2 linked regions of the Arabidopsis thaliana genome follow. The protein of the gene in region 1 interacts with the protein of each later gene in a pairwise test. Each region holds a gene or a part of one and is shown in the gene's direction. Other genes may lie near its edges.

What was found.
Region 2: the proteins of AT1G76110 (region 1) and BZS1 interact in a two-hybrid assay, tested with the Arabidopsis thaliana proteins (one large-scale study listed by BioGRID).

Annotation. Positions count from the first base shown.
Region 1 is NC_003070.9:28,554,505-28,561,427, reverse strand, and holds AT1G76110 (HMG (high mobility group) box protein with ARID/BRIGHT DNA-binding domain-containing protein), read left to right. Parts: upstream 1-3,812; 5' UTR 3,813-3,962; coding exon 3,963-4,141; intron 4,142-4,235; coding exon 4,236-4,314; intron 4,315-4,424; coding exon 4,425-4,587; intron 4,588-5,044; coding exon 5,045-5,143; intron 5,144-5,549; coding exon 5,550-5,932; intron 5,933-6,027; coding exon 6,028-6,141; 3' UTR 6,142-6,394; downstream 6,395-6,923. Other genes in the region: AT1G76120 (Pseudouridine synthase family protein), read left to right, coding at 1,134-2,200, 2,291-2,615; PETE1 (plastocyanin 1), read left to right, coding at 6,588-6,923. UniProt on the Arabidopsis thaliana protein: Binds preferentially DNA with A/T-rich content. Required for karyogamy during female gametophyte development, when the two polar nuclei fuse to form the diploid central cell nucleus.
Region 2 is NC_003075.7:18,202,263-18,209,185, reverse strand, and holds BZS1 (B-box zinc finger family protein), read left to right. Parts: upstream 1-2,501; 5' UTR 2,502-2,764; coding exon 2,765-2,950; intron 2,951-3,582; coding exon 3,583-4,125; 3' UTR 4,126-4,551; downstream 4,552-6,923. Other genes in the region: AT4G39060 (LOW protein: coatomer subunit alpha-1-like protein), read right to left, coding at 4,552-5,226, 5,297-5,442, 5,532-5,814, 6,577-6,579. UniProt on the Arabidopsis thaliana protein: Acts as a positive regulator of seedling photomorphogenesis. Plays a negative role in brassinosteroid responses.

The DNA of each region.
Region 1 (6,923 bases):
CATTTGTTTCATGACAGATAAATGAAACAAAAACAAAATTCTGTTTCCAATTTGAGATTGATTATAGGCTAACCAAAATTCTGTTTAACAAGATCACACACATAAAAGAAGATCAAATACCAAGGAAACGAAGAAGCTAAATCACACAAGTCCCTTAAAGAAACAATCCTACATATATATATATAGAGCCGAAGAGAGAACGTGAAGTGATTAAACAGTTTCTGATCCCAAACGAATCAGAATCAAATGTCAAACAACTTTCGGCCACACAAAAAACAAACCTTTTATAAATGTTACAATGAAGAAGAAGAATTAAAAGAGCAAATTGGACTATACCCACAAACACAAAGTGTCGATTCGATTCTACGGTATTCATCAAGAGATGAGCCAATTATAGAATACAATACCTTCTTCAAAAAGTAGAAAGCTGTAAACAACTTGAGCAGAGAATCTCAGAGATTAAAAGCTATGTCTTTTTTTCTCTCTTTTGAATTTTTAGGGTTTTAAAACTCAATCGAGAAACGAAGATTCATAATTTGCCAAAGTAGTTTTTTTTTTTCTTCTTCGTCCACCTGAAGAAAAATCTAGACACGCGTTGACTGTTAGAATAAAGTCGATAACTTCAATTGAAATAAGATTTGTGTACGCTTTTTCATACGACGCGTGTACCATCAGCAAGACAACAACGCCTATACCTCAAGGAGATTTGAAAGTTTCATACTTTGATACAATTAGAACGGCTATAATTTTCTCTCTTTCTTTTGCCCACTAGAACAGACTGTATTTCCAAAGATGTGTGCTCAATGGATATAGTTGACTTTTTCAAATTTGACTTGAATTATAAGAGAAACATTTGGGCTTGAGACTAATAAGCCCATATATAAAACAAAATTATAGGCCCAGTTAAAGAGCGGTCTGATATCAAAAACGCCGTCGTAGAGAAGCATACCTCAGTCGTCTTCAAGGGTTTCGACTTTTGTGCGGTAGCCATTAACGTTGTTGCAGAGGAAAGCTGGAAAATAGAGAGTTCGATGAACTCTTGTTACTATAATGGAGGCTCAGGAGTTTGAAAACCGAGAGATTTCCCCCGGTTCGAGGTTCCTGATTGAGAATCAGATCAGAAGTAGCTCAATATGTTGACAACTACCACCGATGAGGAAATAGACTTGTCCTGCGACGGAGGTGTCACGGAGCCTCAAAAAGTTGCTATAATCTTCGCGTTTTGTGGTGTAGGATACCAAGGAATGCAAAAGAATCCCGGCGCGAAAACCATTGAAGGCGAGCTCGAAGAAGCTTTGTTTCATGCCGGAGCTGTACCGGAGTCCATTAGAGGCAAGCCAAAACTATACGATTTCGCACGATCTGCACGGACAGATAAAGGAGTTAGTGCTGTTGGACAAGTAGTTTCAGGTCGCTTTATCGTTGATCCACTTGGATTCGTGAATCGTCTCAATTCAAATCTCCCTAATCAGATTAGAATCTTCGGTTACAAGCATGTAACGCCGTCGTTTAGCTCCAAGAAGTTTTGCGATCGAAGAAGGTATGTGTATCTGCTTCCAGTGTTTGCTCTTGATCCAATCTCGCATCGTGATAGAGAAACAGTAATGGCTAGTTTGGGTCCGGGAGAGGAATATGTTAAGTGCTTTGAGTGCTCAGAGAGAGGTCGTAAGATTCCTCCAGGTCTTGTGGGTAAATGGAAAGGTACCAACTTTGGGACTAAATCATTGGATTTTCAGTCAGACATTTCGTCGAACAACTCTAGTGCATTAAGAAGTGACATCAAGATTGAAGCTTTGAGTTCTAATTTAGCTGGCTTATGCTCAGTAGATGTTGAAGTAGGTAGGATACAAGAAGACAGTTGTAAATTGAATACAAATTCATCAGAGACTAAGGTAAAGAGCAAGTTTTGTTATGGTGAAAAGGAAAAGGAAAGGTTCAGTAGAATACTAAGTTGTTATGTTGGATCATATAATTTCCATAACTTCACTACAAGAACAAAAGCAGATGATCCGACTGCGAATCGTCAAATCATCTCCTTCACTGCTAATACTGTGATTAATCTTGATGGGATTGACTTTATCAAGTGTGAAGTCTTAGGCAAAAGCTTTATGCTTCATCAGATTCGGAAGATGATGGGTCTTGCTGTTGCAATCATGCGGAATTGTGCTTCTGAATCACTTATCCAAAGTGCTTTCAGCAAGTAAGCTTCTCCTTTTTCTTTGGTTTTGAAGCTTTGCAATGTCTATAGTTTTGTTTGTTTTGATACTCAGTTCGGAAATTATGTAACCAGGGATGTGAATATAACTGTACCAATGGCGCCAGAAGTTGGACTTTATCTGGACGAATGCTTCTTCACGTCTTATAACAGAAACTTTGAAGACAGTCATGAAGAAGTGTCCATGGAAGCATACAAAGAAGAAGCTGAAGCATTCAAATTGAAGCATATCTATTCTCATATCGGCGCTACAGAGCGAAAATACGGAAATATGGCTCTTTGGTTACATTCCTTGAACTATAGAAACTATCCAGACCTAAACTTTGGCAGCTGTGGACAAAACACAGACCAAGTTCTTGTTCATAAGAAAATTGATGAAAGAGCAAGTCATAGTCTCTAAGCAAAATGATGGAAGCTTAGTTTGAAGATTTTGACATTGTTTTTGTTATTGTTGGTTAATCCCACCATTTTTGTAACTTTTTAATCAAATTAGTATATTTTTGTGTTGTAAGGTGACACTAATGAATTGATTTGTTATCCTCCAACGTCGTCGTCATATAAAAGATTTTCTTTATTTATGGAAGAGAGAAGAATCTTATTTGAACAAATGTTTATCGAATAAGAATCGGTAAAAAATGATTATAAGGAAGAAACGTGGAACCGAATCTACAGGCAGAGGGACGTGACGTTACATATGAGCAGAACCATATATAAAATCCCTAATCGCACGTCAACCTCTCCGAAGCATAAGGCCCATAACTTTTTCTATTTAATTTTCTTGTCATTTTTACTATTTTAATTGTTATTTAGGGTAAATAAAATGTCAGACTTCGATTGACCCAATGAGTTTTAGGGTGTGACTCCTATCTCCGTCTGCACTAATAAGTACTACTTTAACTTTCGCTTACCAATGCATGTCAATACTCAACAGTGACATATTTTTAATTTTCAGAGGTTTTTCAATGCCCAAAAACTTTGATATATAAAGATCGTACGAGTTTTAAATTCCTCACCTAAAAATTGTCAAGTATCATTAGTGTATAAAGTGCATAGATCGTGTTACAAATTCTTCACTTTCGCTCTTATTTTTTGAATACTCACTATATATATAACACTAAAATAAAAGTGAAAGAATCTAATATGCTAAACCGGTAAAGAAAAAAAGCAAGACAGTCCGATTTTTAGATATTATCGATGTTTTCATATAAATTAGACTTAAGAAATTTCAAAAATAAAATAATGATTGATTATGTTGGAAAGAAATAGATGTGACCATATTTCGACTGCTCGTAAGCATAAAAACTAAAGTAGGTGGGGTGCAATAATTACTTTTTAATTAATACAGTGAAAAAGTAATTAATACAGTATTAGTAGTATCAGAAAAATTACAAAGCAACATCACTCAAAACGCCTCGAAAATAAAAACAATAATTTGAAAGCAAATATATACACAATTATAAAGTTTAAAATTTTAAATTTCCTTATATCTATGTGGTATGTATTAAAACTCACAAAAAGAAAGAAAATGACAAATCCTCACGTCCGTTACTTTTAAATCCGTAGCAAAAATAAATAATTTAATTTTCTATCTCTATATCTCTCTGATTTAATCACAAATCTTATCTTGAATCGTTATCTTTCTCTTCTTTCCTTAAACCAAAACCCAAAAAAGAGAGACCAGACAAAAAAAAAAAAACTCCCCAACAAAAAAAAGATATCTGTCTCTACTAAAAGTCTCTCTATAGCGATGTCATCGGACAACGAATCGACACCGTCTCAAGCGACGGTAGAAATGATGGCGACTTCGCCGGCGAAGATTAAAGAGTATCCAGAACCATTGGCTTTACATGAAGTTGTCGTCAAGGATTCTTCTGTCTTCTGGGATACTCTCAGGCGGTTTCACTCAATTATGTCCACTAAGTTCATGTAACCATTATTCTTTCTCTTCTTCTTACTTAATAAATTTAGTTTTCGTCATTTCATCTATCTTATTTTATTATTTTTGTGTGATATAAACAAGGATTCCTGTGATTGGAGGAAAAGAACTAGATTTGCATGTTTTGTATGTGGAAGTCACGAGGAGGGGAGGTTACGAAAAGGTCAACACTTTTTGTTTTCTTTTTCAATACAGATATTTTTTTACTTTATGGTAATTTATTATCGTTTCTTATATGTTGTGTTGTTTTGAAAATGCATGTTGAATTGATAGGTAGTCGTAGAGAAAAAATGGAGGGAAGTTGGAGGAGTGTTTAGATTCTCTGCGACAACAACAAGTGCTTCGTTTGTCTTAAGGAAACATTATCTCAATCTTCTCTTCCATTACGAACAAGTTCATCTCTTCACTGCTCGTGGTCCTCTTCTTCATCCCATAGGTTTGTTTTTTTTTCTCAAACCTTCTTCAATTGATTACTTTTAAATATATATAGTATACATTTCATTATATTCTTCAATTATCATAGATTTGTTTCTGTTGAGAATCTTTAATTCAACCGTTTGATAAATGCTAATCAATGAATCATAAGATGGTTCCCATATTGTCTTTAATGCCCTAGGACTAGAAAGTTCAATTCGTTGTTACTCATTAACGATAGTCTGAAAGGCTTGAATCTATAATAAAATAATAAGAATAACTTTTCAATTATGTGAAGTCATGGGTTCAATCGTGGGACACATTCTTACTACAAACGTGGGAGTTCAACGATTGTATATACCCGAATTATTGTCATCATTTCTATCTATATGGTTATTGTAATTTTGTTTATGTCTTGGAACTATAAGTTATTTAGCGACGATTATTTATGTTACATATAAGATAATCAATTTTTGCAGCTACATTTCATGCAAATCCCTCAACGAGCAAAGAAATGGCGCTCGTCGAATATACTCCTCCGAGTATAAGATATCATAATACTCATCCTCCTTCTCAAGGTTCGTACGTATTATCAATATCTAGTATATACTTGTCTTTGTTCTATGCTTTATATCATCATTTTATGACAAAAAATGATTAAGGTCTTAGTTAATGATTATGTATATGTGAAACTTATATTTAGGGGCACAGTTTAATTTCGTATGATAATTGTCTAGTTAGCTTTATGTACTTATCATAAAAACCTTAGTGTTTATCGCAATACTTTTCAAATATAGTGTAGAATCATAATGGTCCCACTGTCATTATGTTTGATGCAAATCTATTTGGATTTTGTTGGATAATAAACCGATGACGTGGACCAGACCAGTAGCTATAAGATTTGGTTCACATAGAAATTTTTTATAAGATAATGTATCTAGGTTTGCTTATGATTATACATGTGATATTTAATACATGGCACAGGTTCGTCGAGTTTCACAGCCATAGGTACAATAGAAGGCAAATTCGATTGTGGTTATCTGGTAAAAGTTAAGTTGGGCTCAGAGATTCTTAACGGCGTTCTTTATCATTCGGCCCAGCCCGGCCCATCATCATCTCCAACCGCTGTTCTAAACAATGCCGTTGTACCTTATGTTGAAACTGGGAGGAGACGGCGTCGTTTAGGTAAAAGACGAAGAAGCAGACGCAGAGAAGATCCGAATTACCCGAAACCGAACCGGAGCGGTTACAATTTCTTCTTTGCTGAGAAACATTGCAAGCTCAAATCACTTTATCCCAACAAGGAGAGAGAGTTTACGAAACTTATCGGAGAATCGTGGAGCAATCTCTCTACCGAAGAACGAATGGTAACAAATTATCTTTTAAACCGTTACCGATTTAGTGATGAAATTAGATTTGTAGTAAATCGATAACTGAACCGAGTTTTGGTTATTGCTTGTAGGTTTATCAAGACATTGGATTGAAGGATAAGGAAAGGTATCAGAGGGAGTTGAATGAGTACAGAGAAACGTTGAGACTTAGGGATGGTGACATGACAAACGGCAAGGCTTTTTAGGTGATTTAGTTAAAACGGCAAGTCGTTTTGTTGTAGGTCGTTTCTCTCTTTTAAGATTGGACGCCTCGCCGTTTCTTTTATTTTCTAGCTTATTGTAGTTGTCCATGCTTGCTTAACTAGGCTCAGTGAGAGGCTAGACTTGCCAAACTTGAAGAGTCTTTATTTATTTAAGAATTTTAGATGTTCTAATGTATTAATCCTTTTTCGTAAACCTTTCCTGTTAAACAAGAGGTTTATGTTGCATGTTAAAAAAGAGGTTTAGGTTATATTAGCAATTTAGCATTCGATTCGTTGGTTAGTAACTAAGTAATATAAATACCACAAGAACAAGAAATACTAATGAAAACTTGGAATGTTCAAAGTCTCCTTATCTACTTATGCAACGTTAGACAAAGCTATCAAACAATGCCACGTCACCTCACAAAACATCTAGGGTAACCAATCACATGCAGATAACTCTCTCGCTTTATTTTCTCTTCAAATCTTATCAAAAATCCCATAATGTTTTCATTTCTTTACAAGTGATCAACAAAACACCCCAAAAAGTAAAGAAAATGGCCGCAATTACATCAGCTACCGTCACCATCCCTTCTTTCACCGGCCTAAAGCTCGCCGTCAGCTCAAAACCTAAGACATTATCCACCATCAGTAGATCCACTTCCGCCACCAGGGCGCCACCTAAGCTCGCTTTGAAGTCCTCTTTGAAGGATTTCGGTGTCATCGCAGTGGCAACAGCAGCTTCGATCGTTTTAGCTGGAAATGCGATGGCCATGGAGGTTCTT
Region 2 (6,923 bases), on another chromosome or scaffold:
ATTGGCCCATGAGTGACACCCCCAAATAACTTAGTTCCAAGATTCAGGTCTCTCTTTCTTTTTTCTTGGACAAGGCATATAATATCCCGGTCGAAATTTCAAGAAAGCATATAACAATTGGAGATGTAAATCGTAAATGTGTATATAACGTAAACACAAACGTATTTTCAAAAAAATTAGTCACAATTTGGACCACAAAAGCTCTCATACGATTTTTTCTTTTTCTTATTTTCCTTTGAAGACAGAAATAAAAGCTAAAGTGGGATTGTACGTATTAATATACACTGAGATCTACGGGATTTGGACGGACATGATTGAAAGAAGCAATAAACATGTCAGGAAATGGTCCACGAACCCATTGTTGGATTTAAGACAAAGACAAAGACAAACGATATAATTAATACTCCGCTCACAAAAATTGACGCACCGACTGATCAAAAATATGAAAATTAATGTGACAATTCGAGATTAAACTTGGTAACAAGAAAATAGATATCGAAATCGAAGAATAGTCAATTAGCAGAGCAAATTAGCATTATTTAACACAAAACAAGGACAGTGATATATCGATGAATGATTGGATTTTGTTAGGTTACACAAAAATATGGAAACAAATTTGAAATTAATTGGAGTCCATCGATGAATAATTGATGGTAGTAGTTAATTGGTAAAGGTCCCATGCATACTATTTTATAAGAAGGAATGTCTAAAAAGTGCACGAAGAACCTTTTCAAAAAGTCCAGTAGTACATCCATGTGACTCAAGATCTACAAATATTATATAAAAAATTTGATCTCTTTTAAAATCACGCAAAGAACCTTTTCTTTTTTTTCTTTGAAAACGATTTGTTACCTGGTTTGTTTGTTTTTCTTTATGTACATCAAATGCAAACCAAAAGACGATATGATTCCACGCAGCAGCTTGGATAAAAAAAAAAAAAAATGAGATCAACAATATCGTTTTTTAGTACCAAGTCCTGACGAAGTTACTTCGTTGAAACCCAAACTCAAAAATTCTTAAAAATTTTCTTCAAAGAGTCAGTCAAAATGAATGTATAGATTTTTAATGCAAGAAGGGAAGTTGACAAAAAAAAAATAAGTAACGAGGGGAAAGATTCGAGAATCGAGAGAGATCATCCATATCTTCTTCCTCTAAAAGTGTTTTTTGTCGTCTTCTTCCTCATAAATTATATATTATCTAAAATTATTATTCTTCAAAAGATCAGATCCACTCTACTTATTTTATATCAAAAGTATTCAGCGTTTATTATACCAAAAAAAAACTCATTTAAATTCGAACAATATGGCCGACATGACCGCAAAGCTTATATTAATACGAGTATGTTTGGTTATTGGGATTACTACGAGAACATTTAAGAAATTTCATTCATTAAAAAGATACATGAACAAGCGATGATCATGTCTAGCCTGTTAATACAATTAGATCATGTCTAAATCTCAATTCTCAACGGTCATTAAGGCCACTTTATAACGATTACAGCATATTGTACCATTTTCAATCAAGTTAGACAGAACCGATACAAACCACCGGAATAGAAACTGAACCAAAATCTGTAAGAATAAATTGAAGTTCATAAAGCTATGGTTTTTAAATAAGCTATGGTTGGTTAGGTTTATACCGAAACCAATATCAAATACATGGCAGTGTTTGTTGAGTGTATGAAGAAGATTGGAAAATGGATTTGCCATTCAATAATTTATACTATTTGTTCAACTAATACACATAAAATCTATATAAAAAAAAAGAGCGGCGATATTTATTTATTGAGGTAAAAAAAAAAAAAAAAGGAAGTAGATATACACATGGATGATGGAAGACAAAAGCTGGCATGAAGAGCTGGCCATTTCTCAAAGTTCCCCCACCTTTTCCATTTCTTTAATTAGTTTTTATTTCGATTTTTTTGTCGTTTCTATTAATTAGATTAACTAGCATCTGACTAAAAAGATGAATTTTAGACCAAAAAGATTGTACTATTAAATTCCACTTTTGCACTTTTTCTTCCATAAGAGCCTTAAAAGTTCCCACTTCTAGGCCTCTTTACCTATTTCGGTAATATAAAAGAAACAATTAAACTGATTCATCATTTTTGTTTTTCCTTACATTCGTATAAATTACATAATATTTTTCTAAAGCATTAAGAGTTTAAGACTCATTTAAACTAAAGAAACAAATGAGCTTAACTACCAATTAATAGTTCTCAGTGTTATTAAATGAAACAAAAATTAACTAACTTAATCATACTAGTACTACCGTCAAGTTCCTATCAATTATAATATCTGCCTCCTTCTATGAAACCGAAATTTAATGTAATTTGTGATTAAAACGTATACTAATTGACTTACATACCCGGTATGCTTTTGTTTAAGTTCCCTGAATTCTAAACCAGATCAAACCGGGTGTGAAACCAAAACCAAAACAAGTCAATTTGGGGGCATTGAAAGCAAAGGAGAGAGTAGCTATCAAATCAAGAAAATGAGAGGAAGGAGTTAAAAAAGACAAAGGAAACCTAAGCTGCTTATCTATAAAGCCAACACATTATTCTTACCCTTTTGCCCACACTTATACCCCATCAACCTCTACATACACTCACCCACATGAGTGTCTCTACATAAACACTACTATATAGTACTGGTCCAAAGGTACAAGTTGAGGGAGAGAGTGAGAAGAAGCAATTTTGTTATATTCAAGAAACAATAAAAAATAAAGTTATTTTTGTAATACAGAGAGGAAAGAAAATAGAAAGATGAAGATTTGGTGTGCTGTTTGTGATAAAGAAGAAGCTTCGGTGTTTTGTTGTGCGGATGAAGCAGCTCTTTGTAATGGTTGCGATCGCCATGTTCATTTCGCCAATAAACTAGCCGGGAAACATCTCCGGTTCTCTCTCACTTCTCCTACTTTCAAAGATGCTCCTCTTTGTGATATTTGCGGGGTACGTAACAACAAAATTTAACACTTCTCTCTTTTTTTTTGCCTTTCTTGATAGAATTATAATCTTCACTTGGAAAATTTGTGAGCTTTTAGATATGTTATAGTATTGATGGAAATCTGGTTTCATGAACGGATGTTTCGGGTGACCTGAGTCACTTTTTTTTTCTTCTTTCTTTCCGAGATTTGTTTGTTGGTTGGTGAGAAAATGATTATTTGGCAACAAGTTTACTTCCTTTCCTAGCAAATTTGAGGTTTCACACAATTTTTGACGAGGAATTTTATGGCCACGACCAAATATTACTTTTCTCAAAAAGAGAACAGAGATTGAGCTTACCAAACACCTTGGTGATTTATTTGGTTACACACTAATCAAACTTAAGATATTAACCAATTAAATCGAGTTATTAGTTATTACGATATTAAAATACTTTCTTCTTTGGGAAGGTAAGCCGTGGAGAAAAGGATATTTCTTTTTGCTGTTCATTAAATAAAATAAAACAATAAAATGGAATGTTTTTTGTTTGAAAAGGTCAAATCTAGCAGATAAGTATGTTTTAAAATAGATGGATACAAAACAAGAGTCTTCTTGATTATCTATTATTAAATGGTACTAAACCTTTATACATATGACAGGAGAGGCGTGCATTATTATTTTGCCAAGAAGACAGAGCAATACTATGCAGAGAATGTGACATTCCAATACATCAAGCTAATGAGCACACTAAGAAACACAATAGATTCCTCCTTACCGGCGTTAAGATCTCTGCCTCCCCGTCAGCCTACCCAAGAGCCTCCAATTCCAACTCTGCTGCTGCATTTGGTCGAGCCAAAACCCGACCAAAATCAGTATCGAGCGAGGTCCCGAGCTCGGCCTCCAATGAGGTATTTACGAGCTCTTCTTCGACGACCACGAGCAATTGCTATTATGGGATAGAAGAAAACTACCATCACGTGAGCGATTCGGGGTCGGGATCGGGTTGTACAGGTAGTATATCCGAGTATTTGATGGAGACATTACCGGGTTGGAGAGTGGAGGATTTGCTTGAACACCCTTCTTGTGTCTCCTATGAGGATAACATTATTACTAATAACAATAACAGTGAGTCTTATAGGGTTTATGATGGTTCTTCACAATTCCATCATCAAGGGTTTTGGGATCACAAACCCTTCTCTTGAACTTATTTCTGTCGAATTATAGTCTTTTTTTTATAAGTTGGGGTTTGTAATCATGAATCCAAACCAACTTGTTGTTTTCGTTTTTTAGTATTGTTGTTTCTATATTTATCTCACATTATGATTTTAAATTTATTTTGTCAACCAATCCTCTTTTAATCTTAGTTTCTTTTTCTTTGAATTTAATTTCAGGTATTTGTTGTATTGATATCTATACACTGTAACAGATGAAGAAGATCTGGATACGTATTTGAAATCGATATGAATCAATGACATTCCGTAAGGGATTAGCCGAAATTTTAGTCAAACAGTGCCTGGCACCACTTTGAGAAAACAGAGCTCCAACACTAAAAACTGTGAACTTTTTAAAAATAAAATCGTAAACTAATACAATGTAGTATCATAACTTTTGGATTAAAAAACACCAGACTAGGTGTGTGTTTGTGTATTGAAAAACAAAACTGGAAAGCATATTGTTGAGTATGTCGAGAATTTCACACAATCCCAGAGTGTATAGGACACAGGGACTGTAAGAACAACATCAGCCCACTCAATCTGACCCGAAACTTCATCATTGAGACTCTTGTCAAGCAAAATCACAGCACACCAAATTTTCTTGGTTTGATCAAGAGGAGACAAGGCAGGACTGTCCCAAAAGAGTAGAAGCTTTCCACCATAAGTACAAAATTCAGTATCATTTATAACGTACGCATCAAGTCCAGTCAAACCGTTGACCAATCTCCACTCTTCTGACGACTCTTCTGACGACGTTGTTTCCATCCACCAACATCTTTTATCCGCATAAGTGTATTCTACATTCTCTATGACACAATATTTCTCCACCAAGCTTGAGTGATCCTTGACAACTTCCCATTTTTTTTCTTTTAAAAGGTAAACGAAGTCCTTCTTCTTGTTCTTGCTCTCTACATTCTTCTTCTTCTTCTTGCTCTCCACATTCTTCTTCTTGATCGTCACACAAATATTTCCATCCATCGGTAAGATCTTTTTATTTAAAGAGAGCCGGACCTCAGGGGCCAGGGTCCGGTAAAGGTTCCCAAGTTTGAGTCTTTGGGTCGAAAACCTCAGCCCAATTCGTTGATTCATCTGGTCGACAACCTCCCATTACATATATTTTCTCACCGAGAACGCATACATGGGGTTCCATGCGACCCACCATCATGCTAGGGGCTTTACGACCGTTGCCAGTCAGCTCATTATGGACCCACATCGCATGATATATATGGCTGCCGACCGTGTAAATTTCTGAGCCAACCTCTGCGCATATTAAATTTGGTGGGAAAGGAGTATAGGAAGATGGAACTGGTACCAATAAATTTCTAGTAGACTTTTCTTGAATGTTGCAATATTGGTTAAGGGTTTGATCATCAGGTTTTATCCAGAGACTAAACCAGATGGGACAACGTTTGTTGGGCGGTTGTAGGCCGAGATAAACACATTCTTCTTGAGTTTGAAGTTCGCTTCGTACCTCATAGAGTAAGTCTGAGAGGACCAACGAGCGGAAGCTCTTGGAGACAAGAGAGAGCTTTGGGTAGTACGATATCGATACGAGCCAAGCTGCTCAAAACAATATCCTCCGGTAGTGATAAAAACGAAGACGGAGGCCGTGGAGGATGCTTTGACGTCTCGTCCGGTGTTCCTATATTGGACTCCATAGCGGCGGTTTACATGTAGCTAAATTGTTGTTAAGAAAATACACGACTAGGGTTCTTTAATAATAAAACCTATATATAAAATAGAAATAAGGGATATATATATATATATATATATAATTCTCGAAATAGAAAAACTATTTTTTTAAAGTATATTTATATATACTAATCATGAATATATATATATATATATATATATATATATTTTTTCTTAACTTTTCTTTTTGGTAACTATATTAGGTATATATTTGATTTATTAGATCTTGACATGTATTAAAAACTTCTAATCAAATTAACATAAATATTAACTAATAATTACAATGTGTGTTGAAAATCAAAGAAACGATTACGACTGAAAATGAAAGTGGACTCTACTCTCTCGCTCTACTCAGAGCAATAACAAATAAAAATAGTAAGAACAACTATATATGATTGAGTAAGATTGTGCTAGTGGCATATTTTTCATTCTGTTCCGAGCATTATGCTAATAGATGACTAGGTTTGACTTTTATAGATTTGTGTTACTTTACAAGGCTTGTTTTGTTGATGTTTCCATCTCTTTCAACAATCGCTCTAAATTTTAAACATCATATAAATTACAGAAGAAACATATTTATTCTTGTAACGGTAACTTAATTTGACTTTTTGTTACCTTGATCAATTTCCTTTTCTTCGCAAAACATAATAAAGGAGACAATTTCCTTTTTTTTCAATGGAGCGTTTGCTGATAAATACTCCAACTCTCGTTTCTTCTTCTTCGTTGAGAAATCAAAAACCAAAATACCATCTTTGATCTTCTTCTTCTTCTTCTTCTTCTTCTTCTTCTTTCTTTTTTTACCTGCAATTTCCCTGCGAGACTGATCACTGATGTGCTTTCCTTCTCTCGTGACAACAATCTTCAATCAATCGAGTTCACTTTTTAGTTCGTGACTCCCTAATTTCACACGATCAAAGATCTCGCCACCGAAACGCTTTCACCCAAGGATTCTTTCAACGGCGGCGAAGGATATGATTACACGACGGAGAAGGACGATGGCCAAGAGAGGGATAGTGAAATTGACGACCAGTTGGCAGATTCTTTGGCTTTAAAACTACAATTCGACTGCGGAGGAAGCAGACGAATTTGTGTTT